Linked DNA regions of Lytechinus pictus. Each later gene encodes a partner of the first gene's protein in a complex. Links are inferred from orthologs where the notes say so. Each region holds a gene or a part of one and is shown in the gene's direction. Other genes may lie near its edges. The genes, in order: general transcription factor IIH subunit 4-like; transcription initiation factor IIA subunit 1-like; DNA-directed RNA polymerases I, II, and III subunit RPABC2-like; general transcription factor IIF subunit 2-like.

What was found.
Region 2: general transcription factor IIH subunit 4-like (region 1) and transcription initiation factor IIA subunit 1-like share a complex: the UniProt entries of both Homo sapiens proteins name them as parts of the TBP-based Pol II pre-initiation complex. The link is inferred for Lytechinus pictus from reciprocal best matches to the Homo sapiens genes GTF2H4 and GTF2A1.
Region 3: general transcription factor IIH subunit 4-like (region 1) and DNA-directed RNA polymerases I, II, and III subunit RPABC2-like share a complex: the UniProt entries of both Homo sapiens proteins name them as parts of the TBP-based Pol II pre-initiation complex. The link is inferred for Lytechinus pictus from reciprocal best matches to the Homo sapiens genes GTF2H4 and POLR2F.
Region 4: general transcription factor IIH subunit 4-like (region 1) and general transcription factor IIF subunit 2-like share a complex: the UniProt entries of both Homo sapiens proteins name them as parts of the TBP-based Pol II pre-initiation complex. The link is inferred for Lytechinus pictus from reciprocal best matches to the Homo sapiens genes GTF2H4 and GTF2F2.

What each region holds. Positions count from the first base shown.
Region 1 is NC_087259.1:21,886,316-21,894,207, forward strand, and holds the start of general transcription factor IIH subunit 4-like, read left to right. Parts: upstream 1-4,880; 5' UTR 4,881-4,909; coding exon 4,910-5,049; intron 5,050-7,892. UniProt on the Homo sapiens protein: Component of the general transcription and DNA repair factor IIH (TFIIH) core complex, which is involved in general and transcription-coupled nucleotide excision repair (NER) of damaged DNA and, when complexed to CAK, in RNA transcription by RNA polymerase II.
Region 2 is NC_087251.1:22,636,867-22,644,232, reverse strand, and holds the start of transcription initiation factor IIA subunit 1-like, read left to right. Parts: upstream 1-4,351; 5' UTR 4,352-4,465; coding exon 4,466-4,489; intron 4,490-4,853; coding exon 4,854-4,955; intron 4,956-7,347; coding exon 7,348-7,366. UniProt on the Homo sapiens protein: TFIIA is a component of the transcription machinery of RNA polymerase II and plays an important role in transcriptional activation. TFIIA in a complex with TBP mediates transcriptional activity.
Region 3 is NC_087248.1:11,113,197-11,121,207, reverse strand, and holds the start of DNA-directed RNA polymerases I, II, and III subunit RPABC2-like, read left to right. Parts: upstream 1-4,990; 5' UTR 4,991-5,090; coding exon 5,091-5,116; intron 5,117-8,011. UniProt on the Homo sapiens protein: DNA-dependent RNA polymerase catalyzes the transcription of DNA into RNA using the four ribonucleoside triphosphates as substrates.
Region 4 is NC_087260.1:10,629,046-10,636,230, forward strand, and holds the start of general transcription factor IIF subunit 2-like, read left to right. Parts: upstream 1-4,177; 5' UTR 4,178-4,302; coding exon 4,303-4,362; intron 4,363-7,185. Other genes in the region: esterase LipI-like, read left to right, coding at 143-398, 1,547-1,613, 2,100-2,895. UniProt on the Homo sapiens protein: TFIIF is a general transcription initiation factor that binds to RNA polymerase II and helps to recruit it to the initiation complex in collaboration with TFIIB.

The sequences.
Region 1 (7,892 bases):
TCCGATCTTTGTTAAAGCGCGAGCATAAGATTTTTGTTTACGTTTTCAACTGATCAAAAAGGTACCTGTTAAGGACTGCTTATTTCACTTAGCCATGGGGAGACGTTACATATTTCAACAATAAAATCATGCAAGCGCGAGCCGATTTTTTTTGGGGGGACACTTCTACATAAAGAATGGAAAATTTAAATCAATTGTAACCATGAACAGGATCGTCGCTATAAAACAATTAATGCGAGCGCGAAGAGCGAGCGGAAAAAAAAATCGAGATTTAGTTAGACCTAAAAATGGGACACTCTATTCATGTTTTATATATCATGAAAAGGATGAGATAAGAAAGAAGTAGTAGTGCATGGGCGGTATCGCCAATAGGGGGGGGGGGGGGGTGCCAATTCGTCTACGGCAAACTCGTCCACTCACTACATGGTCTATTTTCATTAAGTCTAATGCCAATCTGTCCATCAACATTTCGTCTAACAGCCATTGGTCCATTAACCATTTGGTCCAATCATCACTTCTTCTAATAACCATCTCGTCTATGACCATTTAGTCACATAACCGGTTGGTCTAATAGCCATTTTATTTTCATAACATTTATAGTCCAATTAGATGAAATGGTATATGGACCAAATGGCTTTTGGGTCCACTGGTCATTAGACGAAATGGCATTATACTAAATGAAAAAAAAAGACTATGTGGTGAGTTGACGAACTGATGGACCAAACGATAGTAGACGAGTTGGCAATTAAACAAATTAGAAATAAACCGGGGAAGGGGCCGAAAAATATTTGCTCTGCTAAAAGTTAATAAGGGTAGTCCTAACAGTCACTTCTTTATTCTCATTAAACAGCATACACAAAACACAATATATAATAATCTCATAGCCCCTATAGTGCGAGTGAGAAGCGCGAGCTAAAATATCTTTGAAATTTCATGTTTTTTATCCTCAAAATTGAACATTCTGGGCAATGTTTGTGAACTTGAACAATATGCGTATTTTAATAAAATTTCTGCGAGCGCGAAGGAGGAGCAAAAAAAGAAAGAAAAGAGAGAAATATACATTCTGGTCTGATCGAAAAGGGACTTGCTAATGGCGGTTTACAGTTCAATCAAAATAATGCGAGCGCAAAGCGAGCTAAAAATGTTTGAAATTCTGACCATAAAAATGGACATTCCAAGCACTTTGTGTATGAACAGAACAGAATAGGGCCTAAGTAATATTTTAGGTACAAAGTGGGAGCACGAAGCGTGAGCGGATAAAAATTGAGATATATAGACCTAAAAAAGGAACACTATTTTATATTCATGTTTTCTAAATCGTGAAAAGGATGGGTACTTGGTTACACCTTTACTTGTATAATGCAAGCGCGAGAAGAAAATGTTTGATATTCTAATCTGAAGCGAGATAATTTAAGCATGCTGTTTTCAATACAGGATAAGCAGCCCGTCTCAATAAACATGCATGTTCTAGAATTTGCGCATTCTTAATACACTTTTTATCACGGAAATCAATAATGCGAGCGCGAAGCGCGAACTGAAAATATTGGATATTCCGATGTGAAAAGGTCAAATTAAGCACTGCACTGTGTAGGAAAATAACCGTGAAGTGGACATGGATTGCTCTTAAAAATGAGGCGAATGCAAAGCATGTCGAGCTGAAGTTATTCTGGACCGTAGGACCGGGACATTCTAAGGACATTTTTTCATCATTATGAATGACTGTCTTCCGATTCCTCTTCCCAAGCGCAAAAAGAAACATGTCGATCTTCCATTCTGAAAAAAGTGACAAGTTAATTACGGTATTAGGAATTAATGAAATGTTATCAATATCTTATTTACTAATCTAATAAGCCTAATGAGAGCGCTAAATTTGTTGATTTTAAAGTGTTAACCTCGGAGATTATAAGCACTTTTGTCATTATGAATAGGATGCATTAATTAACGTACTTAACGAAATTAATGCGAACGGCAATTGCGAGCAAATTTTTAATTTAATAAACTTATTATTAACTAAAAAAAACTGTAATGAAAAGGGGAATGTGAGTACTTTGATTTATATATATTAGGTATACATGACTCACCAATTCTAGCACGTGCGCGCAATATAGCTGATAAGATATGACAATCAGACCTTAAAAGTTATATTTTGAGAAATTTATGGAATAGGGCCTACACGAAGAGGAGGTACTCCACAAATCAAATAATGCTATAGGGCACAGCGTGAGCTAAAAATGTTGATACTCGGATCATAAAACAAATATTTTACAAAGCACTTTTTTATTGATTCGTTATACCTCAGTCACATTTTTTCTACGGCGGCCGTACGGCGAGTCGAAAACAGTCGTTTTAACATTTTTTTTGTACCAGCTTAATATAGGTGGTTTGAATAAAAATGAATAAAACGGCTGTTTTCGACTCTCCGTACGGCCGCCGTAGAGCAAATGTGACTGAGTTAAAGAAAAAAAAATCGGCTTTTAACGGCGCCGATCGGGGAAAAAAATTGTTGTCCCCCCCCCCCCATTGGAAAAAAATTGATCTACACCGGGTATTTGTCTGTCGTACCTCCCAGCATTGGCGGCGGAAGCCAAGGGGGGGGGGGTCTACCTGAAATTTTGTGATGGACACAGGTAAAAAATAATTTGACAAGCAAAAAAAAAAAAAAAAGGTTATCAACCTCAATTTTAGGGGGGGGCCGTCCCCCCCCACCGCAGGGGGACCTGTCCCCCCCACTTCCGCCGCCTATGCCTCCCAGTAAATGAAACAACAAAATCAACAAATCACCGTTGCACTAGTACTAAAAATTTTGCGAGTCTTTATTTGTTTAATATTTTTGTTTATAATGGTATTCATTAATTATATAGTGGAGGTTCGCATCCCGAGAATGTGAAATGAAAAAAAAAATGCACTGAACAGGAAACACTAAATGTTCTTTTCAATTCCAAATTTACTCAGTCATTCAAATAAAAAAATAAGCATCATTTTTTGATACCTTAACTTGTTCATCACGAATACAATGAAGCCGACAATTATTTGCTTTGTTTTGGATTAATCTTTATAATATTATTAATTCACTTCAAATAAAATTCATACATAAACAGGAAAATATCACAGAAAATAATGTAACAAATTAACAGTGCAGTTGTATAAAACATCATAGAAAATAACATGACAGATAAATTTTATGTCGATAGGCACACTGTTCATTCGATCATAAAACAATCGCGCTGTTTCACTCTATCAGTATTGTTTCATCTTCATCTGTCCTCAATGGCAAGGACACCAGCATAATTCATTCACTTCAAATAAAATTCATACAGAAAAATATCAAAGAAAATAAAATAAAAAATCAACTTGCAGTTGCATAAAACATGATAGAAAAAACATGGCAGATGAATTTTATCTCGACAGGCACACTGTTTCATTCGATCATGAAACGATCGCGCTTTTCCACTCATTGGACACGCGCGACTATATCAGAATTGTTTCATCTGTCCTCAATGCGGCAAACACCAGAAGTGATGATAAGTGCACAAGTTGCAGTTGCACGTGCGCGGAGAATGAATTAAATTCGGCGGCTGAGTAAAGTCTAGCGAGAGAGACAAGTCACCAACGAACTTCACGATAGACCACGCCTACTTGCCGAGGTACCCAACGTTGATTGACGGCCCATTTAGTTTTTTGAGTAGTATGAAAAAGTACAGGCATATATAAACATCATTTTAGTGTGAATTCATTCCAAAAACACATTTTTCTTCTAATATAGATGTTTCAAACATATTCCATGTGGAAAACATTATTTTTAAAACATTTATTGCTATATTTTTATCATGAAAAAAGGGTTTCTTACGCAACAGTCAGTATGATATGTGTGGGCACGAGATCTGCCGTTTAAGCCATAAAGCATATTTTTTATGATTTTATTGTGAGCCTACTCAAAGGATTTTTGTTTATTTTTATGAATTTCCAGACCAAGTTCAACAGCGCCGTCTCGAGCTTGCAATAACGCATGCGATCGCACGCATTTTTCTCCATAGCGAATACACGCGACGAAACTCTGTGGATTTCTCGTGGATTTAACCTCCAAACGTCACTTTCGATACCACATGAAGGTAAGACACTTCATCCCACATAAGTTAATTTAAATGTAGAAAACACAGGGCCTAATTTTTTTCACTAAGATGAACTAATTTGCTGAGGAAAAGCATTTCAATGCTCATTTTTGCCGTCGAGAACAGACGATGGTGGCAATGCACACTGTTTACGTACTTGCAATTGGCTTTTCATTTGCCCATACGGCCATAGCAATTTTGCTCAGTGGATCGGCCGACCTTTTGGTAACTCTACTAAGTACTATATACTAACCTCATACTAGTGTGAGTGACCTTGACCTAGCCCTAGGCAATAACTCTTTTCTTTCTATAGACTCTTGAAATTCATACAATGTACATTAAGCTTTCATTTGATGTGTCATTTAGTTTGATTTGTACAATCTGAAATTTTGGCAATCTGTTTGACATATTTATGGAATTGCACTAAAGTAACCTGGCGATTGAAGCCCTGTGCAATCCCAATATTATATTCACAGAACCGTGTTATCTCCTTTCATTATGTATGCATACTTATCGCATTAGCCGGTAATGACATGTTCTCCTGTGGAAAAAAACAACAGAGATTTCGATTGAGATTATACTAACAGTTTAAGATTTATTTCTAACGTAAACAATAAAAAATTAAAGTCAAACCACACAATATGAGGCATGCCCAATATGAAGACCTACAAATTTACCATTCACGTTAAACTTCTCTAGTCATATTCTTCGTCTTACCTTTTTGATCGGGCTTCGTTCGGGCACTCGTCTTCGTCTCCGATACCGGTATCCATCCACTAATATTTTTGTGACGACACAAGATGGCGTCTTCCATGGGCCATGCAATTGACAACTCTAGGAAACTTGACTGCAAAGATCTCCATGGTTATCTTCGGACTCTTCAAGGATCTGTTTTAGATAGACTCTACAATCATCCTGCAACATGTCTAGCTGTATTTCGGTGAGTAATTAATGAGAAAGAAGCTTGGTTTTGATTGATTTATTGCCCCATTTTGATAGTGTAGTCCCACATATTGAAAGTTTTGCTACGTCAACTTTGGATTTTTTTTTGACAAGTGATTAAATTTAAAATCGTCCTCACCAGTGGCGTAACTACGGGGGGGGGGGGGGCACGTGCCCCCTCCCTTCATCGGCTGCCCCCCCAAAAAACGGGAAAAGGAGAAAAAGAGGGAGAAAGGAAGAAAAAAGTTGCGGGAAAGGAGAAATTGATTAATCAGTAGAGGCGCACGGCCACTCCTAGTACCAATGAGGTCCAACATTACATGTATGGACCTCATAGGCGACATCAGTAGTATTTTTGGTTAGAAATCTCTGAGAACAGGATATTTAGGCAATTATATCACAAGTACAAGCTCTATTCCTTTCTCTTATTTAAATTATAATTTTATAGTGTAAATGCATCGTTAGCAACAACAAAAAATGAAAGAAATGAAGGGGAACTTACATTTTCACGGCTTTTTCCTGATTTTCTGGGCAGCTGCTCTTCTCTTCTGACTCGCGATCGAAGCTGATATGAAGATCACGTGATTCACGTTCTCGTCAGCTGATCGGTTGGTTATTCTTTCCGTCAGACGTTAATAATATATATTTTATAATGCTATCATTCATCGCTAATTTAGGTGAAAGAGATTGAAGTTAAACAGCGCCAGGTCGGAATCATAATTATTTTGGAAGAGTGTATTTATACACTCGATCTCATACCTGACGTAGACGGCGCTATTCAACAAATGCACAATCTTCAATATAAAAAATAAAACAGAAAGAACGCCTTGAACACAGGCCAAAATGCCTAACGATTTATCCGCGGCATTAACAACTATCGTAAAGGGCGCTCCATTTATCAATAAAGATGGACGCTAAGCTGTCTATGGCGACAAAATTTGCCGCAAATATTTACGAAGAATTGTGAGAAATGGTCTGAAAATGCAACAAAAGAACCGGTGAGTACCGATTAAACATTATCAATTTATTTAATAGAACATATTTAATTACTACAATGTAAAAATTTCTAGATAATATTGCTTAGTTCTAAGCTAGGGAGGCCCAAACGCGCGTGAGCGGAGTCCCACTTTATTAGCACGGGTAAGTATTGGGGTGTCGCCTAGAGTGCGCACGGCCAATATTGGAGACTGTCTCCAATGTGGGAGAGTATCTCCAAAAGAGTCCAATATCAGAGACTTTTGTAAAGAATTTGGGTATCCAATTTCAGAGACAGTCTCCAGTTTTGGAGTCCAATTTCCTTTGTTTACATTTGCTTCAAAAGGATTACCTTGGCGGCAAATAAAAATGTGATAAGCAGACTCCTCATGAAAAATTACCCCTTTTCACCGTCTACTTTAAATATTCACCGTCTACTTTTGTTTTGATAAGGATTTTTGTTGTCAATCACACACAAAACAAATGGGCTTCTGACCTCAGTGAGACAAAATTTTGGGTGGAAAAAATCATGCTTTTGTTGGTGTTGTTTCTTTTGTCCTTTTGCAAAGCAAGTCTCCAATGTGGGAGATTGTCTCCCCTATTGGAGAGAGTCTCCCATATTGGCTGTGCGCCTCTACTGTTAATAATCGTTCATTACCGATTACGGACAACTCGGACCGTTTCACGGTTTTTTTTCACATAGTTGCGTCTATTTTTCCATCATTTCAAAATTTCTTGTAACGATTTTCTAGAGATATGGTCTGATGGTAATTTTCTTCACTATTACTTTTTTTCGCTGAAAAAAGGTGTAATTTTAGGCGTTTTTCCTACAGCTCTTGATTCCCATAGGCGCGCGTGCAGCCATTACTTTTAGCAGTGTTGCATTGGTGCTCGGCTCGGCCCCGCTCAACAACTGACTTGATTAATTAAATTAATTATTTTTATTTTTTTCAGGATTTAAAATAAAATGATGTAATTCATCGTGCCCATTTCCATTCCTTGTTTTTCCCTGATTTATTTTCTTTATAGGGATGCTCCTCCCATCTGCCTCATTACTTCCATCCCTCTTCCCATCATCTCCATTCCCTTTATTATCTCCATCCCTCTCATCATCTCCACCCCTCTCTTCATCTCCATCCCTCTCATCTATCTCTTCCTCCCACCATCTCCTTATCATCTCCATTCCTCCCACCATCTCCTCATCATCTCCATCCTTCTCATCTCCACCCCTCTCATCTCCATTCCTCCCACCATCTCATTATCTCCACCCCTTCTCCCATCATCTTCATCCCTCCTCTCATCATGTCAATCCCCTCATCTCCATCCCTCTCATCATCCCCGTCCCTCCCATCATCCTCATACCTAGTGCTGCAAGTCAGGCGCCATGTTCGGGTTCGGTTCGGTTCGGCAAGGTTCGGCAGAAATTTGCCGAACATTGGTTCGGTTCGGGGTTCGGTAATGATAGACTGATAAAGCTATAGTTCATTCAGGTATACGTAGCCTGTCGTAGCGTACCGGTAGACAATTTGTACTTGATTGACTGCATGTGCTCGCGTGTACCTCTGTCACATCAAACCATTTTATCTCTATCTTGTTGACATGAAACTATGAAAGTTATAGCGCTCAACGAATCAACTGTTATCTCGAATTTAATTATCTGATGACAGATTAATTGGGTAACTCACAGTTCTAAAATGGCGACTCTTCCTAGTCGTCCATACCTGGACCACACTTTGGATACTTGCCAAATTAACTACGCTCGCACTTGTACCAGGACTACCAGCTAGGCCAGCGCATGCAGTCCCCTTGGAGCGGGACTCTGGGCTCATAAATATTTATATATACAATCCGGCCAAACGTGATTGG
Region 2 (7,366 bases), on another chromosome or scaffold:
TATGAGTAAAGTGTATAGAAATGTAGGTTTAATGTAGGTTTTCAAAACTTATCTCTTCCAATTTTGCATCTATCATGAAGATGACATAAAACATAAGGTAAAACACAATTTGACACAGCAGCAAAATATAAGACATGGGCCTAAGATTATGAAACGAAGTGTTGTAATGTCTGTTCACAATGTGCGCCTAGTTGTTCTATCACAACATGCCATAATCAGTGGGTTCTGTGCAGGCGCGCCGGAACACTTTCAGTTTTAGGGGGGCAAAATCCCGAAGGGGGCACAAGTATTTTTGATAGCGTGAGATACCGAAGCGATCGAGCGGGAGAGTGTGTGGGACCCCCCATGGTAAGGACTTTGTGTAAAAATGGAGTATAAAAGTTGCGTATCGAAGAGCATTCAAAAATAAATTTCTTGAGAATTAAACATAGAATTCACTACGAAAGACTATACTCATAATTTATGAGAACCTATGAAATCTACGCGCAAAACAATCGTTTCGGAATGTGGTTTTCATGTCTGATCAATTAAATTACGTATTATACGCTTATATTGACTCAAAATACCAAAAATTTTCATGCAATATCCTTTCAGAAACATAAGCGATGGCTTTCACTTCGCTCATGCTTTTGGAAAGCCTAAATTGCCTTTTTCCAGTTTGAAAACCCCTTCTTGCTGAAAACCTCTTCTTCTCTTCCACCACTAGGATTTTTTCGCAAGCACCCTTGTCGGCATATATGGCAAAATGCCGCTCAGGGCGAAACCGCCTGCCGTGATTGTCTTTCTTGAAGTTAGCTGAAGTAGACTGATTTGGGTTTTTCCTTTAAAGAACTTCGGTTTCTTGTCCCTTCTGGCATATGGCAGGGTTTTCGTGGATTGTGGAGGACTCTGGCAAACCTCCACTTGCTTGAGTTGACTTTGTAGTGTCCTTTTCCTCTTTTTTGTACTTTTGAAAAGTATGTTAGGAGTGATCGAGATCCTTTCGCATTGTCTTGGAGTTCTTTTTGCTCCTTCTGTTTCCTCCCGTTTCTTCATGATCAGGGTCGCAGTTCCAGCAAATGACGAGCCTGGCAAACGAAATTGTTTCAAACAAATGTAATATAGGCCTTTTAAAGACTTTAAGATGACAAACATGACCGTACGCAGCCGGGGGCCGCCGATCGAGAGGGCAAAAATTCATTGAAAATTCACCAAAAGTGTGCACGAAATCCTTCAATTTTATTCTAGAAAATGCAAAAGCTCCCCCATCACAAACCCCCTCGCTCTTAAGTTTCTTTGAAAATTTAGTTCTTGCAGCCCCACCCACCCCGGATTTTTTTATATTTTTGCATACGTCCATGAATAACAAAAGCTGGGATGAACCAGAGAACATAGCTGCCTCTCGATCTGATTATATAGTAACAGGTAATGGGAAGGAGTTTTGGAATCTAAAATACAAAAGTGCTATATTATCATATGAGCTGAAATAGTATCAGACAAAACGCCTGCCAATCATGCCAATGAAAAGGAATCGAGGAAAATACGGGACTATGAAAATATCTTAAGATTTTTATAGTAGAGCAGTACTGTAACGCTTATTTTTCTTTTATATTCTTTATTTACATTTTTATTCATATATCTCGGATAATATGAGTCAGATCAAGTAGACACTTTCATAGATGATTTTATTTTTTCATGCATAAGCATTATCTCTAAGTTGCTTTCGAGTGGGATTCACCATTTTCACAAATTATAATCCTCTACACATAATTATTCTGTGTGTAATTTTCTGATAACATGTCTATATTGAGTTGAAATGACCTTGGTATTTTCTTTAGGGCACTGACTTGTTATCATTGTATTAACTCAATTCATATTTAGTTGAAAATGAAATAATTGAAATAAGTTTTCATAATTTAAATCTATATCTTTATCATCTACTTACTATTTCAGGGATGACTTCCACAGGCAACAAGTATATGAGATATTGACGACCTCGAGATGTTATGGTTTCTGGGCTTAACAGCTATGACATAGATTCCATAATGTTGCTCGAGTAACTAGCGTTCACGCGCGTTAAGGCCACCGCACACCTTATACTGTTCGCGATCCGATTTTGGAACAAATCGCATTTTGCTCATTTTCTGAAGATGTGAATGGAACATATCACTTTATTTGAGGTTAAAATTAATTGAAAAAATAATCTTATAACCATTTTGAAAGATTGCAAGCCTTTATTTTGAAGTAAAGGCCAAATTAGTTTCAAATCGTAGCCAATCATACGACTGCTATGACGTCATTACGACTAGATATTAAATTCTCTTTTATTCTAAGATGATAATATAGTCACAGATTTGATCATAGGTATTCGTACGATGATTTATGACATTACACAGTAAGACATTCCAAGTCTCAATATTAGCATCAAATTCTACAACATTTTATTCTGAAATCGGGTCGCAGACCAGTCGTAAGGTGTGCGGTCGCCTTTAGTGATATCGGGTCCGGTCTGAGCGTTTGGGCGACCGCGCGTTTGTTAGCCGACACAGCCAGCATGCATTGGTGAACCACTTTCAATTTGCCATTCGGTTTTAGTCTGAAATGTATTCATTAAAAGGTTAAACGTTATCACACTGTAATAAGATAGAAAAGGGGTTTATCAAAGGTATGTTTCACATGCAGAGGGACATCGTCAAAAGACGCGAGGCTTACTATGATATGTAATAGCCCCGTCATTCATTTTTGACAATGGAAATTACAATTTTTAGGCAGAAAAGTGCCTTCATCGTTTACTTTTGTCCTTAAATTATTTATCATTTTCTACTTTTAGGGGGGTACATGGGGGGGGGGGGGGAGCAAAATCTCGTTTTGCCCCCCAAAAATTTTATTTGGGGGGGGGGGCAAGTGCCCCCCCCCTGCCCCCCCGCTTCCGGCGCCCTTGGTTCTGTGTTCGATTGCCACCGGGTCAGTAGTGGTAAAGTGACCATAGATGCACCTTGTTTCCCGGAAGGAAGCGAACGCCAATGTATTGGCTAGTTGCTCGTTGATCATAGAATACTCCCCTAGCTAGGGAATATGCATATACACTGTATTAAAGTGGCAAGCCATATTGACCATTATACTAATCTGTATATGCGCATCAGAAGGCTCGATCATCGATGTGATAAGCGCAATAAAAGTGGATTTTGAACAACCAAATCGGTAAAGGTTAACTGAATGTAAATAAAATCTTTGTTTCAATTTCTGTTTTGAGGAATCATTTTTTCATGTTAAAAAGAAAGTACACCCCCAACAGTTTATTTGAATGAAGATAAAAAAAATCAAACAAGTAGAAACTTCATCGAAATCGGATGTGAAATAAGATAGCCATGACATTTTAAGGCTTCGTTTATTTTCCAGAAATAATTAAATTCACCATATGCACATAAGTGAAAGAGTCGATGGTCTCACTCACTTACTATTTCTATTGTATTTTTTGTACGATATCTCAAATTTTGCAAATTTTTTCAATAAAGGAACCCTACATCGAACATCAGCGTTAATTCCACATTTTCAGGGAGGAATCAAACTTTGTTTCACAATATAATGAGGAGAAAATGAAAACATTCATATTTCATAAAATAATAAATAGTGAGCGGGTTACACGATCAGGGGAGCGTTTCATCAGCATTTTCATCCGACAACTTGTCAGATCTGACAACTTACCTTGATTTTTGATTGGCTGAGAAGCAATATTGCTATGGCTACTGTCAGATAAAAACAAAAATCTCCAAGAATCCTCATTTATATACTGACCAGGATGTACAAATACCTTGTTTGTTTGATTTTATCCTTCTTCAAATCATTTTTTTTGTGAGGATAGACCATTGTCCTGTAAGGGATAGAGATTTATTTATTCACCTGCATGAACATTAATTAGAAACGAGGTGTTGCCAAGGATTTCACTGCATTGCGGATGAATGATTTGTATATTTTCAAAAATCAAAACTACCTGCTAAAAATGGTATATTCGTCATTCATTGAGGCATTTATTCCAAATTCGTATTCTTCATCAATTGTCATATAGCAGACGACAAACTAGATAACGGAAGCAGACGATTTTTACATACAAGGCTATTAGCAAATTATGAAAACAAAACTCTATTATGAAAAAAAATATTGACTTTTTGATTGTATATTATTACTAAATGTATAAAAACTAATTACAATTAACCAATTTTGTTGTTTTATACATGTAATGATACATTATATTTTCATTAACTTGAATAGTTTTGAACGAGGAGTTTTAATAGGGGGTATGACAATTCCTTCAATTTGCCGCTCCCCTATAGGTGAAAAAGAGAACTTGTTGACGAGTATAAAAGCCACGAGCGACAGAGTTGCAGTGGCTTCGGTGGAGCCGAGACGTGAGGAGAGAAGCGTACCTGTACTCTTTTTTTCAACTCTCATTTCATCAGATCTGGACCTTTTCTTTTGAAATTTGAAAATGGCTTCTAATTCTCAGACTGTGGTGAGCCTTTATGGGATTAATAAGAAAATTCACGGGGAAAAATATGTGTTTAATTAAATAAATTGTCTTTTTTGAAAATGACTGTCTATGAACCGAGTCTGATTTTGATTAAAATAAAAAATTTCAGTAAATATTTAGGGAGATAGGTCAGACTCAGTCAGAGGACGCATCCTTCTTGACGAAATTTTGACGTCAGATAATAATATAATAAACAAAATTAACGACAGATTATTGGATGAATTGGTAATCGATGATCATGGTTTGCAGGGGTTTGTCTTTTTTTCAATAATTTCCTGATAATGTAGATCTATTCATCATATATATTTTCAGCCTTCCCTAAATTCTCTTCTTTCGCATTTTACAGCACAAATTGTACAAAAGTGTAATCGATGATGTGATTAACAACGTTCGAGATGCATTCTTGGACGAAGGAGTGGAGGAAAATGTTTTGCAAGATCTGAAACAGGTAAGAATACGCTGCCTGCGCCTGTTTGAACATTCTGCCAGTGGCAAAATATGTACAAAGCTGCTCTCGTTCTTCTGTACATGTACCGGTAGTGGTACTGTGATAATCGCACAGAAAATATTTGCAATGGCAATGCATATTACACGTCGATTGAGAGGACTGATGTTCTCTCAAGAGGGGCTTTTTCGGATGCCTCTTTTTCGTTTTTGCCAACTCCAGCACGATGTATAGATTGTTCAGAAGATCCCCTACCCTAAGAACAAAATTTCCTCTCTTTTCGACTCCACATTCTGTTTTCCCACTTTCCGATAAATCCTTATTTGTAGGAACCATTCGCGCCCAATTGTGCGGTGTGTCACGGCAGCGGTCTCGGCGTGAACTGCCATCTTTACAGGAGCGCCGCGACCTCTTGTTAGGGTTCGATTTGCATATGCCCATGTATTTATACTGGAGCCTCATTTGACTACAGATCGCCTTGCAGCCAATGACATTCGTGTATTTGGTTGAGTGACCTTAGGTTTTTATACATATTCATGAAGTGGTATTTAGTGAACCAATGAATATCCGCCGGTGCCCTGACTCATGCATAAAGAAGCTTATTGATCATATGTCTTGGTAGTCTTCGTGTCTATTCTCTTTCCAGACCCTTTGAATTACCGTTGAGGTTGGATAAAATATGAAGCAAACAATCAGAGGATTGCTATTTTGTTTTCAAGCACATCTTTTGATATTATTTGAAACCTAGTTTTTAGCACACTATGCAATCATTAATCACTATTGGAATATTTATTTTTGAAAAAATTAAAAAAAACTTTAGAAATTATGCATGTGTAAGACAGACAAGTTTAAAATAGAGTCTCTTTGAATAAACTACCATTTGATGTCATTCATGCTGGACTGGTGAAAACTTATAAATGACCTGTTTCAACCATTCTTTTTTTGAGGGATTTTTTTTTTTTTTTTAGAACTCAATGAAAAAAAAATTGCCAGGTGTTATTTCTTATGTCTTTCATCAAATCTCTAGTCAGAATAGAGATACTGCCCTCTTCATTTTCCCCCCTTTTTTAACTTTTAGAAAGTTCTTGGTCTGCAGCCAGGTTTGGGCTTGGGGGGGGGGGGGGGTGGGGCTCCCTGATGCTTCCTCTCAATTAGCTTGGAATAAGTCCATATTTATTGTAGTTTGGCGAAAGCAAAAAAAGAAATTTAAATAGGCTAAAACAGGCCTATTGGGTATATGAGATGTGCCGCTGGGAAGGGTGAATTTTTCAAGAAAAATCCTTAGACATTAACCTCCCGTTTTCATAAAAAAGATCTTTAGACATGATTCCAATTTCCACAAAAATAATCTGAAGACATGGGGTCACTAATTTTTATATTTCCCACGTTATTTTGTCTGAGATTTAGAACTGTGTTTGCTCCCAAATGATGAAATATGCAGGGCCGAGTCAAGTATGCCTAAAAAATATTCATATCCACAGAAAATGAATAGTACATTACATACCGTAATTTTTGTCCCAATGATCAATTTGTCTGGTATGGCGCAATCAGATAATTGGTGCTGTATAATATATGCTTCAGTTGGTGCGGGTTTGAAACTCACCAAACACTTTCAGAATGTTTAGAATTGAATTATATTATATTGCACCTGAAATGTGTTAACATTAAAATTCAAATTCAAACATGGGTCGTCTTTTCACAGAAAATCCTTAGAGATGGGTGCCTATTTACGGCAAAAGAATCCATGGATGTGGGTATGGGTTCAGGGGTCTCACTTTCACACCCCCCCCCCCCCCGAATTTCGACTCGTCTCTTCTTTTTTTTACTTCCAATTTTAATATTTAAATGATGAATAATCTATGATTTTTATGAAATTAGTTTTAAATATTTTTTTTAAATAAGTAATAAACAAAATTAGGGGATTTGGCATAAAACAGTAGCATAGTCTGCATGATTTGTCCTTAACTTGAATAATTGCTGGAGCCAAAGATTTGTTTTTCAGACCAGAATATTCAGAACATGTTATTTACATCTTCTAAGTCATACAGGGAAAAACTCATTCCAGCTTACAAGATGTAAAATAGGTAACATACATGTACATGTACCTGGGAATTAGTGGCAAAGTACCTCATAAGGGCATAGTTCAAAAGTGGGGAAACCTTGAAGCTAATGAGGGTTTCCTGAATTAACAAATACTTTTGTTTGTTGATGTAATCATTTTACAATATTATTGTATCAATATTATAATAGATTTGTTCTAATCATTAAACTATTTTATCATGATTATCATTATTATCATCATCATTATCATAAAGTTTCATTATGAAAAAACAACTTTCCTGTTTCATTTTGGTTAATCTTGAGATGTCTATTTTGCTTTGCAATGATTGAACAGATATGGGAGGGCAAGCTCA
Region 3 (8,011 bases), on another chromosome or scaffold:
CATACCGACCAGGATGTACATATAACTGTTTTGTGAAATTAAGCAAAACTTTAAAATGTCATAACTTTCTTATTTTACATCCGATTTTGTTGAAATTTTCAGTGTTATGCTTGTTGGATTTTTCTCTATTTATTCAAATCAACTAATGGTTGGGGTGGACTTGTCCTTTAATGAGCACAAAGCCACAAAGAAGATTCAAGAACATTAGAATCAATTTGATAAAATCAACAACATACATGTATGTGAGGAAGGAATTGAAGGATGTAGGGGCAGATCCAGGATTTTCCAAAAGGGGGGGGGGGGCACAATTTCCCGAATACAAATTTGACAGGCCAAAAATAAGAATTTTTGAATTTTTACCCAAAAATATGGACATTTCTTCCACGAAAAAATTTTGACAAGCAAAAAAAAGAGGTCTTCATTTTCAAAAGGGAGGGGGGGGCACACCTTAAGTTTTGTTTTGTTTAAACAGCATACAATTACAAATTCATATGACATAGGCCAGCTGTGCCCCCCGGGCCCCCCCCCCCCCTGGATCCGCCAGTGGATGGATGTTATTTCGGAACAACTAGTGAACTACCGGGCACACACACATAAATCTCCTGAGCTGACCATGTTTCAGCCTTCACCTTCACTGCTTCAGCATTGGCTTCGTTCAGGCTCAACTTCAGCCCGCTGGACCAGCGGCAAATTTATAACAGCGTGCGCTTCATTGGCATGTTCATTCATTACAAGATCAAGCACGGAAAACGCCCACACTCCACCACAGCTCAGTCAATACGATAACGATACCTTGGTCTTTTGGATTTGGAACACGAACGACGGAAACAGAACAGTAAAATTTCTCATCATCTTAGAATGTTCACTTTCAATGCTTACCTTTCCAGCAATGAATTTAAGATTAGCGTCCAAGTTATATTTTCACCAGATGCTCCAATCACTAGTGATACCCTTTTTGCCTCTCATTATTGTGAGTGAGAATCGTTCAAGAGTCGGAATCACATCGACTTCGACTTGTATTGGAAATGTCATTAAGGTATTCTTCTAATATATATCGGATACCTTTTTCAAGGGTTGAGTGGCGGTTCATGGTGCCGGTGGTGTGCGCGTGCAGGGGCGAATCTTGGCCAACCGGGGTGACAATTTTGAAATCATGTACTCCAATATTTGTTTGGTGAGGTACATTATGATACCAGGCAATGGATGACGGATACATCTTCCATTCCCTCACTTGTGCATATTCATAACGTAATTTTTTTCATAGCGGGGGGGGGGGGGGGTGGCAGGCGGGGCAAGACGTGTAAAAAATACTGATGGAGCCACCCTACTAAAAAAGACTTATAAATATATAGATAGATAGGCCTAGATAAATAGATGGTGGATGGATAGATAGATAGATGAATAAATAAATGAATAGATAGATAGATAAACAAATAAATAAATTAATTAATTAATTAATAGATTAAACGAAGGAGCGAAGTAACCGAGCCTGTAATTGGAATGTTTTTGCATTTTCTAAAGTGAAATTCAGGATTTCATGCACACTCTTGGTAAATTTTTTGAAAATTTTCAGTAAAAAAATTCAAAATTTCTGGGAGGGCACCCCCCCCCCCCCCCCCCCCCGCTGCGTACGGTTATCATGCCTTATCCTCACACAACACAGACTGAGACTATACGTAGGCACCGTTTGGGGCCCACATGCAGGAGACCGGGTATATAGATACATAATGGGACATGGGGAGAAATGGGACACTCATGTGACCTTGAAAGATAATCAGCCAATCAAAATGGGGGTACGTCAGTTAAAAGATGTTCCTATAGTATACGCACAACTTTCAAATGAAATGTCAGCAAAAAAAAAATGTTACTCCTCCTTTTATGGTGGGTCCTATCCCGGGCCGGGGTCCTATATGTTATGCTTATTCGATCGTGATAGACATATAGGTTACAAAAAGTTGCCCCAATTTATACAGGCCTATTTTGTGGTTACCCTGGGGAGGGGGGGGGGGGGTGAGACCCAATGTTAAAGTTGAACCAATTTTAAAACAAAACAAAAATGTGGGTAGGGCCAGGGAGGCGGCTTATGGCGGGGACGGGGGAGGGGGGTGTGGTTGGGACGAAGGAGACAAGGATTGATTTTGTGTGTGTGGAACGTGAGGGGTGGTAATTTTTTTCTGTATTATTTCTTGAATTTCTTTCAGTGCATTGGGATGGACCAGTTGAATTGATTTATAAATTTGTGCATAAGGTTTCTGAATTACTTATTGATCTGGTACCTTGATGTATTATTCATAAAGCAAGTTTTGAAATCAGTTTATGTTTGCATTTCACTGCTGTTTGTTAAATGTCACTGGAAGAAGCAATAAAAATACTTTAAAACAAACACACACAAAAAAAGATGGCGTAGCTAATTATGCTTATGAAAACTCCAAAATGTTCTACAATAATTATTCAGTGTTTAAGGAATTTCCGAATCCGAGAGAATCCCATGACAAATTCCTTTGTTTTATATTTTCATAAAAAAGGTGTTAATTCAGTTTTTGTCTCGCCTGCATAGCAGAGCGAGACTATAAGCGCCGCTTTTCCGACGGCGACGGCGGCGGCGGCGTCAACATCAAATCTTAACCTAAGGTTAAGTTTTTGAAATGACATCATAACTTAGAAAGTATATGGACCTAGTTCATGAAACTTGGCCATAAGGATAATCAAATATTACTGAACATCCTACCTGAGTTTCAGGTCACATGACCAAGGTCAAAGGTCATTTAGGGTCAATGAACTTAGACCATGTTGGGTGAATTATTTTCAAAATCTTAACCGAAGGTTAAGTTTTTGAAATGACATCATAACTTAGAAAGTATATGAACCTAGTTCATGAAACTTGGGCATAAGGTTAATCAAGTATTAGTAAACATCCTGCTCGAGTTTCAGGTCACGTGACTAAGGTCAAAGAACATTTAGGGTCAATGAACTTTGGTCAAGTTGGGGGTATTTGTTGAATTACTATCATAACTTTAAAAATTTATAGATCTAGTTCATAAAACTTGGGATATAAGAGTAATCAAGTATCACTGAACACTCCCCTGTGAGTTTCAGGTCACAAAACCAAGGTCAAAGGTCAGTTAAGGTCAATAAACTTAGGCCATGTTGGGGTAATTGTTGAATTGCCATCATAACTTTGAAAGTTTATGGATAGAGTGAATGAAATGTGGACATGGGTGTAGTTGACAAGTCTTAAGTCACCGTTCAAATGTCATTTATACCTTGGTCACATTTGCTCTACGGCGGCCGTACGGCGAGTCGAAAACAGCCGTTTTTATTAATTTTAAGTCAAACCACCTATATATAGTTGGACAAAAAAATGTTAAAACGGCTGTTCTCGACTCGCCGTACGGCCGCCGTAGAACAAATGTGACCAAGGTATTATGGTCAATGAACGTGGCATTATGTCATTATATATTTTTGTGAGTGATTATTTTATTGTAGTTTTCAAAGTTAGCACTGCTGCTATATTAAATCGCGTAATGCAGGCGAGACTGCCAGAGGCGTTCCACTTGTTTATTATCAATCACTTTGTGAGCAGTATTTCTAATACCAGTAGGTCCATGGTGATACTTATACGTCTTAGTCCAATTTAACCCAGAGGTCTCCAATGTTTCACCAAATTAATTGAAAATCAATTTTATATATATATATATCTAAAAATCTAAAAACTATAATGAACAGGGATATCATTAAAGGGTTAACCCGGGCTGAAAATATAAATATAGTGATATTCACCGAGCAAAATGCTGAAAATTTCATCAAAATCCGATAACAATTAATAACGAGGTTATTTAATTTTAAAGTTTAGCAATATTTTGTGATAACAATTATGCACGTCATCATGAATATTTATTGGGTGGGCTGATGGTGTCACATCCCCACGTTCCTAAATTTTCTTATGTTATTACATGAAATCGGAAATAATTTATTTCTTCATACAAGTGTGAATGATATGTCTACCTATGATAAGTTGCATGCAGCAATGCATTAAATCAGTTGTCGATCCAACTTTTTTTAGTTCTTGGCGGAAAATTGAATAAACATAATTTCATATAATAAAATACAAAACAACAAGTGGGGTTATGACATCATCTGTTTGTTCATTGAATATTCATGAAGACACATTTCCAGAACTGTTGTTTGACCGAAATAATGCAAAATCATTAAAATGTCATAACTTTGTTATTCCTTGTCTGATTTTGATAAAAATGTCATGTTTTTTTTGTCTGATATTTCTTTATCTATTCAAATCATGTTTTGGCAGACTTAATAATAAACTTCAGTATCTATAGTAGGCCTATATGCCTATATTTACGTGATAATCATGCATGACCCTGCTTGACAGATCAGACTGCTACGCAAAAATGTCCCATTTCAGCCCAGCCTCGAGCGCAAAGCGCGAACTTATAGGCGTATCATAACACTTACTTTCAACATGTTCAAAGGGGAAAACAAATTTCGTAGCAATTATATACACGTTTATTATATATAGAGGCAGGTGCTCATGGCCACTTTTGACTCATATGGGCATATTTTTTTATAGAACAATACATCATTGAACAAAATGCGACTATGCATAAACCTATTCTATCTTCTTCTTCTCCGCCTCCAAGCTCCGTCTTCTTCTTCTTCTTCTCCGTCCTCCTCTTCTTCTTCTTCTTCTCCTTCCTCTTCTTCTCCTTGCATGATATCCTTCTTCTTCGTCTAATATATGATAAGCACAAAAGCAAAAAAAAAATGTACCTGGTATATAATATATATAATATAATGATGATCATATATGAATTCTTTATGTCATTGTTAACATAATTATTATTTGTGTTGTGGTTATTATCAATATTATCATTATTTTCATCCTGATCTTCTGAATTTTAACTGACAAAATAATGTCTTTAATATCTCCCTGTATTATTTCTGACGGACGGACGGGTGGCGCTGGCGTCAGTTGGCTCATATTTTCTCATCCGAAGTATACTAGCGTAATACGTTTGGACTTCGGAGATCACTCACGTTTGCCAAGCAAGCTATAAAAGGCCGACAAAACAATGGCTGACGACGAAGATATCGAGAAGTAAGAACATCATTAAATTGTATTCCATATGAAATTATGTGACTGATATAACTGTGTTACTTATCGTGATAGTATCTCGTACTTTGTAGCTTTATTTACCCATGCACATGCGGCTGAATTAAGCATTATTGTAATCATGTTAAATACAGTCCCGTATATTTAATTTGGTGTGTGGTTTTTCTGCGTATCCACTGGATCCTCCAGAGTCGAGGGGCCGATTGCACGAAAGGGTCTTTCGGCTTAACTGCAGAATACCCCGACACTGCTCACTACCCAATCGTTGGTCAGCCAACACAACGATGTCAAGACCTATAGCTATATACTAATTCAATGGTATATAGCCTAGATATATCCATACTATTATATACGTACATGCATTACTGGTACTACTACTACTACTATACTACGTACGTACGTACGTATTGGGTTTCGGAAAGGTTTCTCATGCATGCTAACATCTCTGTGCCTTGAACTTATTCTGGAACTCAATACTGCTTCGAGACTTCCGACATACACCGCTTATCTTGACGCGGAGAAAGCATTCGATTGTGTGTGGCATGAAGGCTTAATTGATAAGTTGCAGTCCATTGGGATAAGCATCTCCCTTGTTCGTCTCATACAAAATCTACACTCAAGGATGGAAAGCCATGTTCTTTGGGATGGAGATGTGTCAGATCCCATTCCTATCACTCAAGGGGTCAGGCAGGGTGGTATCCTCTCTCCCACCTTATATACCGTATTCGTTGATGGCCTCATAAAACATCTAAAGTCACTTGGGCTCGGCACCTTCATACGATCGGAATACGCAGGTGTGATTGCACTGGCTGATGACATCACTCTCCTAAGCAACTCCCCTTCAGAATTACAACAAATGCTTGAAGTGACGTTCCAATATGCTTCTTGTTGGCATTATCGTATCAACCCATCTAAGAGTGCTATCGTGGTCACCAATCCCCGCAAAGCCAGTAACCAGGATAGTTGGACAGTAGGGAATGATGCAATCTTGCGGACAGATTCACACACCCATCTAGGAATTCTCAAGACCAGTACGAAATCAGACCAATCTGATATGATCGCTACAAGAGGTCTGAACACCTTCTATGCAATGGTAGGAACTGGTGCATACTCGGAGGGTCTTGTGCCTTTAGTGACTGCCCGCCTATGGACGTCTTACTGCATCCCACGTATGCTCTATGGCTGTGCTACTCTGAAGTTCACCCAGGCAATGCTAAAGAAACTGAACAAAACACAACTTCAGCTATTCAAAAGGATCCTAGGAGTACCAATCACTTCAGCCGATGAAATTGTGTATCTTCTCACAGACTTGATTCCAGTGTCTGCTCAGATAGAACTGGACAGACTCCTCCTCCTTGGGTCAATTCTTTCTATTGATCGCTGTCGGTTCGAGTTTAGAATCTTTCTTCATGCCTCAGAGAAAACAACTCCAACCATCCGGATGTTTGCTGATACTCTGTCCAAATATCATCTCCCACCACTTGTAGATCTAATTACAGATCCACCTCAATACAACACTTGGAAGCGCACCATCAACATAGCAACGAGGAGAAATGTCAATGAGGATCTAGAGCAAACCATCCCTTTGAAAGCCAGTCTTTCAGTCTGGGCAGGTAATCTGCCTATGGACGTCAAGGACCTCTACCCAAGAAACCCTCCATCCTCCTTGATTAGAAAGGCCTTGACAGTGAGAGCACAGCTTCTTTCTTCCACCTACCTTCTTCAAACCAGACTGAAAAAAATTGCTAAGACCGCTGACTCAACCTGCCAGCACTGTCATAGTGCAGACGAAACAGTAGAACACTTTATCGCCACATGTCCCCATTCCAACTCAATTCGCTTTGAGTTTATTTCTTTACTCAATGAATCTCTGAAAGACTACCCAGATGTGATCTCTTCTTATAACTCAGCAAACCCTACTCTGTTCACTTGTGTTGTACTTCTTCCTCCTGTATCTGATCCACCAGTCTCTATCAAAGACTGCCTGCTTCTTAAGACATTATTTTTTATCTATAAACTTCATATGTGTCGATTGAAACATATTGATACATGCTCAGAACCTGCATATAACCATAATTAAACTGCATGAACTATATCTTTACGACTTGTCCTGTCTACTCTTAACCCTGGATGATTATTTATTATGGATACTATTGCCTTCATAGGGCTGATCTCCGAAAGCAGCGGAGGGAGAAAACCAGGAAGGAAGGTACGTACGAGCAATGCATCCAGGCCATACGTAATGACCTTTGCCCTTTGACTACTACTAGAGCTATAATTAAACATCGTTGGGTGCGCTGCTAGCCAACGACCCACGTTGTGACGGTACGGACGGTGCAATATAATATTCAAAACATCGCTAGCCAACGACCAACGATGTGACGGTGCCATGTAACATTTAAAACATCGTTGGCTAACCAACGACCCACGATGTGAAGGTGCAATAGTACAAGATTAATACACTCTTTTAAATTACCTACTACTACTAGCTATTGCTATACATCGTTGGGTGCGCCGCTAGCCAACGACCAACGATGTGACCGTGCAATGCAACATTCAAAACATCGTTGGCAAGCGTTTCAAAGTATGGTTTCACAAAACAGTTTAATATATGCATATCCTGGTTAGTGAGGTGATCGATGTCATTCACTCTCTATTTCTTTTGTATTTTTTATACATGAAATATTTTCATTTTTTCTTCATTAAAATATGAAATAAAGTTTTAATTCCCATTGAAGGAATTCAATGGGAATTGAATTCAATTAGGGTTAGGGTTAGGGTTAGGGTTAGGGTTTAGGGTTAGGGTTAGGGTTAGGGTTAGGGTTAGGGTTAGGGTTAGGGTTAGGGTTAGGGTTTATGGTTAGGGTTAGGGTTTAGGGT
Region 4 (7,185 bases), on another chromosome or scaffold:
GTATGTAAATGCCGTTTAACGTTATTATGTTATTATATCAAAGTTTCGTAATGTTGCGGGACCGTGGAAATAAAACATAAATGGAAAATAGAAGAACTTATTAGGCCTACTGTTTAATCTCTCTTATTTTCGATTGCCTTAGATGTACCTGGAATCCCTGGTCCGCGGAGGTTCAACAATTGATTTCTCTGTCATACAAACTAGCCTTACAGCTCTAGCCAAAATCTATCAGTTAGGAGCCGGTAAGACGTCACAATCAGATGGGTCAGAGGTCACGTTAGATGACACGACCTTTGACGGGGTCAGGGTACTTTTCTACCAGCACACAGAGGGAAAGCAAGAGAAACGGCCGGCATTTATCTTTCTTCATGGAGGCGGTCTTACTGTCGGAAGCGTTGGTGAGTGGTTGTTGGGTGATTTCTAGTTAAGTGTTGATCTTTTGGTGTTGGTGTTAGGTCAATTTTTACATCAGCATAGCACCAAACATGAAATAAAACTGGTCCTGAAAAGTCACTCGCTAGGTGTATTGACCCGTTAATATTGTGATATCACTTTTATAAACTTGGAATTGGTTTCAGAGAGGAAAGACAATAAAAATTAAGCTTCCAACACCAACACCGGACTTGAAATCACCCATAATAATGTTGATATTACTTCTCTATTGGCCCATATGACGTACCATTCACTAGTCGCTATGCACTTCCAAAGGCACTTTGACATTCGAACCATGGCTTGAGGTAGGCAAGCCTTTTGCACGGCACAATTAAGCATTTCAATGAATAATATTCAGGTACCCATCTACCTCACCGGGTGGGTTATTTCATGAAGCTGTTCGTAAGTTAAGAGCGACTTTAAGAAAGACTGGTGAACCTTTCTTACGTGCTAAATAATCACCAATAAACATTCATGGTGAATATCATTTGCCACAATAAAGGATCACCAGTCCTTAAAGTCGCTCTTAACTTTCGAACAGCTTCATGAAATACCCACCTGGGTTGAGTGCAGAAAAATACGGATCGATGCTTAAATAAATTTTGCCATGACAGGGATTCGTTTCAAAGTCGGAGACTAATCCACTCGGCCGCAGCGCTCACTCAGAGAATGATATATCCCGATTCACCTTTTGGGGAGGGGTCCATAAATGGTGCAGGGGCAGAAAGTTTATCGATTTTGTTTTGGAAAATTTCAAGAATAAAAAATAAGAACAGGGTTTGATTTCTTCCTAAAAATCTGACGAGCGAAAGGGGGCGTGCTAGCTCGTACACCATGTACACCGTCAGATCAGTATTAAAGGGACATAAACTTGCATCCTCATTTAAAAGGAGGCAATATCCCGTCTAAAATGGGGAGACGAAAGAAACATTGTACTGATGTTTGCTTGAAAGGGTCAACTCATGCCCCCTGGATCCGCCCCTAATTAATATAACCCTTTCTTTCTTCCTTCCTTGATCCTTCCCTCCTTCCCATCTTTCTTTCTTTCTTCCTTCCTTCCTCTCTTTCTGCCTTTCGCTCCCTCTCTCTCTCTTTCTCTTTTTCCCCATAACAGATATCTATGAAATTGGTACCCGTGATATAGCAAGACAACTTGAAGGGATGGTTGTCATATCTGTCGAGTAAGTTCCTACATTTTTTAATCAGAAATTCATGATCGAAATGCTAATAATGAAAGGGGCAGTGCCACAACGGACAGGGGATGGCAGCCCCTATATATTTTCAATCAATGAATAAAAAGGGGAAAGAGGATAGGAGAGGGAAAAAAATTAATAATAAATTTCTCCACCTATTTTGGGATGGTTCTTTCATTCATGTCTGGCATAGAAGGTGGCACGACATTTCTCCGGGCTTTACTTCGTCTAAGACATAGGGTTCGGGTTAGGGTTGCAATAGGGTTTTGTGTTAGGTTTAGGAAAGGGAATCCAAGATTTAATTTGGTCATTTTTCAGTGTGTGGAATTTACAGCAGAGCAATTGTCCCAGGACCAAATGTAACGAAATCCTAACGTATGATTAGCCTATATTATCTGAAAAAATGGAATAATATTTCGTTTTGTTTTAGAGGGTTTTACCAGCTGACTTTTCTAATTTTCTACTTTCGTTCAGTTATCGCTTGGCCCCGGAACACCCCTTCCCGGCAGCATACGATGACGGGGTAGCCGTTACGAAATGGTTGATGAGACACGCCGACGTTTACGGAGTCGACCCAACTCGCATCGCCGTAGGAGGTGACAGTGCCGGCGGCTACCTCACGGCTGCGATCGTCCAGGCCATTCACGATGACCCGGCCCTTCCCGACGTCCGTCTCCAGGTGCATCTCTTCCCTTGGTTGCAGCACTTCGACTACCATACACCTTCGTACCAGAAGAACAACCATGTTTTCGGCGAGAAAACCTGGATTGAAAACTCCATCACGGGGTTTACCTTCAGCGCGTACTTCAACGGAGTCCTCAACGACTCCCTGGTCGAGCAGATGTCGGCGAACAACCACACTTCCGCCGCCTTCAAGAATTCCCCGCGCTTCCGCAAGACCTTCAACCACTCGCTGATCCCCAAGAGTTTCCGCGACCCCGCGTACTACGCCCCGCCCCAATCCAGCGACTTCGGCAACGAGGCGATCTGGAATGACCTCAAAGATACCGTCCTGGATCTTCGGTTCTCGCCGATCCTTCGCGAAGATATGCGAGGACTGCCGAAAGCCTACATCGTCACCTGCGGCTATGATCCCCTGCGCGACGACGGAATATTCTACTATCATCGTCTAAAAGATGGTGGTGTCGATGTGGACTGGGTTAACTATGATATTGCCTTTCACGGCTTGGATTGGTATTCTCCACTATATTCAGAAACAGGAAAGCAGGTGCAGGAAGGATTTATCAAATTCATCAGAGTTAACATTTGATTTATTTTCCTGCGTTTTAATCTGCAATAATTACCAGCAGTATCTGGTTGATTATACTTTTTTTCTCAAGTGCAATTAATTTCGTATTGAAATGCAGTCAGTATTCGTCAAACCTAAATCATACACGCGACAGACGAGTCATACCTCTAACTACATATTGAACAAAACTTGACAAATTGTATTTATCCAAATCATCGTTTTTAAATGAATATATTCAAATGCTTGTCTAGGTTTAATTCGTTTGTATTTTGAATTAGATCGTACTAATTGATTCTTAATGCCACTTTATATTGTTAATCTAGCAGAATGTGTTTTTATAAATACGTGAAATGATTTTTTTATGTTTACGATGGTATATTGTATTTCTGTACAGATTAATCATGATTGTGTAGTTGCCCAGGTACTGAAGAGTTTAAATCAAATTGTTACAACAATAGAATGTTTGTTCTTACTTTGTGTTTGAAAATAAACAGATAACGAAAAATTATATAAATTAGAAAACAGAGAGAAAAGCAGACATGGTATGAAAGAGGGGGGGGGGGGGTCGGCGAAATTAATAAATAGTAAGCATAATAAAGAGAGAATGGGAAAGAATTAATGGGTGAAAATGAAACAAACAAAAGATAGAAAGTAGGCTAAAAGAAAGTAGGTAGGTATGTTGATAGACAGGCAGACAACTAGATAGCTAGGCAGAAGGCAATAAAGATAGATATGGGCCGACAAATTGAAAACATATTACTTGTATTGTCTCTTCTATGCACTCATTGTCATTTTCCTTTTGATGGCGACCTCAGCAATCTAGATTACAACGAGCCCCTTATATTCTGCAATACGGAGGGTACTGAATAGAAGAAAGAGAGGGGGAAAGATGGACGGAAAAGGAGAACACGAAAGATTGAAATTGATGGATATTGAAGACCGAAATCCCCAAACTATTGCTTCCTCAATGGGAAATGAATGGGTTGGACTGATGAGAGAGAGAGAGACGAGTGAGGATCAAGGGAAGGAATATGAAAGGATGAATTATTGATCGAGGACAAGATGCGTAATTTCTCTCATCCTTCAATCCATGTCTATGAACAGAAACAACAATTAAATTCATTAAATCGATGGTAGCTCGAAAACCAACTTTTTATCTTGGCAAATCGGTAATATGACCCACGGCCCACGACATGACCCAAGACGAATATTTGACGCGCCGCGTCTTTCTCATACGGCTCTGCGTCGAGAATGTTACTATACTCACGCCAATCTGGGGTATAGCGCCATCTGCGGCGAGGTAGCAGCGATGTATTTATATCTTGCAGAAAGAGTCGGATAATCTTGCTTATTGTAAATTATTCTGTCGCAGTAGCCTTACGAACTAAAGTCCTTTTCTACTTTTATCAAATTACCAAGGTCATTACGATGACGTCCAAGATGGAGCTCGACTTGACTGCTTCTGCACGACCGATTTGGCTGGTCAAGGTAAATAAAAATTAATAATCGAGTCAATTTAAATGGCAGTGTCTCAAAACAGGTTACAGAATGGTACAGGTGGGACTGCAGTGTACTGTAATCTTTTTCAAACAATAAAAACAAGTGCTACAAATTACAATCCAATCAGAGCCAACCGCGTAGCCAGGATTTAATTTTGGAGGGGGCGGTAAATGCATGCGAAGCGTGCCAAAACTTACAAAGCGCGCTCCCTAGGGCCTTAGGAGTTAGGGCATAGGGGGGAGGTTACTGCGCCTGCGGCAGCCCGAACGTCGTGTCGAGGTCCCCGGGGCAAGGGGGGAGGGTGCAGGGAGGTGCAGGGGGGAGTTTTTGATATCTCATCAAATTTGAATCAAAAGAAGATGTCTCTTGCGTCTCTAATAATACCCTTATCAATTTGACTTGCTGTGATTAAAAACAAAACCTGTTTTCCAAAGAAAAGATGAGTGCCCCAAAAATGGGACAAGATTGAGGAATTCCAAATAATTCCTCTTACCGCGCGAAGCGCGAAAGCTAAGACGTTTTATTAAAAGAAATTGAGAACAGAAGTGGTTTAAAATGCCTATCTTAGACTTTAGTCACCAGATTTGATTGTAAAAACTTTAACCACATTATATTTCTTTAACTCACAAAACAGTAGATGCGGGTATATGCAGGGAGGAAATATTTCTTCCCGCGAATGGCTTGAAGCTCTGAATTTTAGAAATTTCTTTGAAACTTTAACCTGCTCTAATTTTGATATTTCTATAAATAATACAAAGAAAAATGTAGCTCAAAATGTGAAAGGGATGATGCAAGCTTGAAGAGGGACTTTTCCTTTCCCATGCACGCGAAGCACGGAAACTTCTGTGAGTTATTTTGGAAGAAACAAATTTGTGTAATTTCGCTCATAATATTAAGCGCTTCCTTTTGTATGATTAAGAAACTTCTGTGATATTCAAAATTTCAAATCAATGGCGCAAAACAGGACATGAGATGGATGTGCAGCGATATAAATTTAGAATAAAGTTTCATCGTACCAACGTTTGCATATAGCACGGCACGAATTCAATGCTCCCCCTTTGAGCAGATACTTTGCCAAAATATTGCTTGCTGAAATGCGGAAGAAATAGCATTTGGGGACTTCGGGATCGAGTGACAGTATAAAAGTTTACCCACTCTGAACAGACGAGGAAAAATTTGTGTCAGCGCAACTGAAAAAAATACTTCTCATACTCCTTACACCCATGTATACTTTATAATTTCTGGCAAAAATGCGATTCCCATGGCCGGGAAGGAGAAAAACGGAATAGAAAAAAAGGTGTGGGAAACAAAGGGCTAAGGCAATTTTGATATTTTTCCCGCGTGGAGCGCAGAAGCAAAATTTTGTGTGAAGAGAGAGAAGAACATCTCGTTTAGGTTTTTATTCTTTTGACAAAAAAGAAAGAAAAAACAATAAAGCTATAGGCTATACCCTTCTTCCCTTTTCTCCCTTTTCCCCTTCTTTTTTTTTCTTTTTGGGGGGCGACCGCCCCCCCTGGCTACGCGCCTGATCAGAGCGCGAACTGAACAATACAGGAACTCATTCTTCCCATCCACTATCATTGAGTGGAATTGCCTGAGTGACGCTGTCATCAACTCAACTCTTGATTTCATTGTCTTTCGCTGGGCGAAAGCACGGAAATCGCACGATTTGCGTGCTGTCGCCAAGCGAAATCAAAATGGTGACGTAAACACGGTGGCAAGTTTTCCCCGTCTTTTCATTACATTTTTCTTGTTTTTTAAATAAATTCTTGTTTAAAAATGAAATCAATAGCGTAGAAATGTCGGAAATGAAGTTGTATCCCATACCGGGTACATGATTTAGGGCTAGATCTAGATCTTTTAGAAGGAAAGTAGAAATCTCGGGGGCGAAAGTTTCAGGTTTTTTGGCAGTACACGGAGATGAATGGGAAGGAATTTCTGGCTCCGTTTAGAGTAAGCATACATTAGTAAATGATTTTTACTCTCTAGGAGCCTCCTGGGGCCCGTTTCTCAACACCGTCATAAGTCTAACTTCTTGACTAAATCGGAGATAGTGAGCTACTTGTCCGCTAACCGTTTCACAAAGCCCTCTTTACCAAGATCGGGTACAACAACCTCACTAAATATTAATGACACCTCCGAACCTGTCATAACTTCTTTCTTAATGATGTAGTGGCATCACGTGGTTAGACTATGACAAGCAAAAGTGCCTAGATATTTGAAAATAATACTCTTACGTAATCAATCATAGAGGTTGAAATTACATCACAAAACAAGTGGGATAATGCATTCAATGATAATTCTAATAAAAAGAAACTATAAAAACTGTTGGTAAAACGCCACAAAACCATTCAGTTTGAAATAGTAAAATGATTTAATCGACAAAGATTCTACCACGTCAGGCCATCCATAACTGGACTCGTATTTGTCGTTTTCAGACCCCTATTAACATTTGGATAAATTCTATTTCTAATTTATGCATAGAATTTGTCAAATCGTATGTTTCAGTTTCAAAGATTTATTTTTGTTTTTGTTAAACTATATTTTGATGATGTTTGGAACCGTAGAAGGGCGTATAATTATCATTATTTTACAAAGAAAACTGTTATGGTTTACTTTCGTAAACTATTAAAATTCGATGTCCCGGGGGTACCCATCTCAACGTCCACATGTGATTTTCTAGTCATGAAATGATTTATTCATAATTTGATTTTCTCAGCAATTGAATGCTCCAATCTTCATGGTCTAAGTATGTATGATGCATAATTTACATGTGCTATTATTTTGAAAAGATGTATCTCCCAATTCATC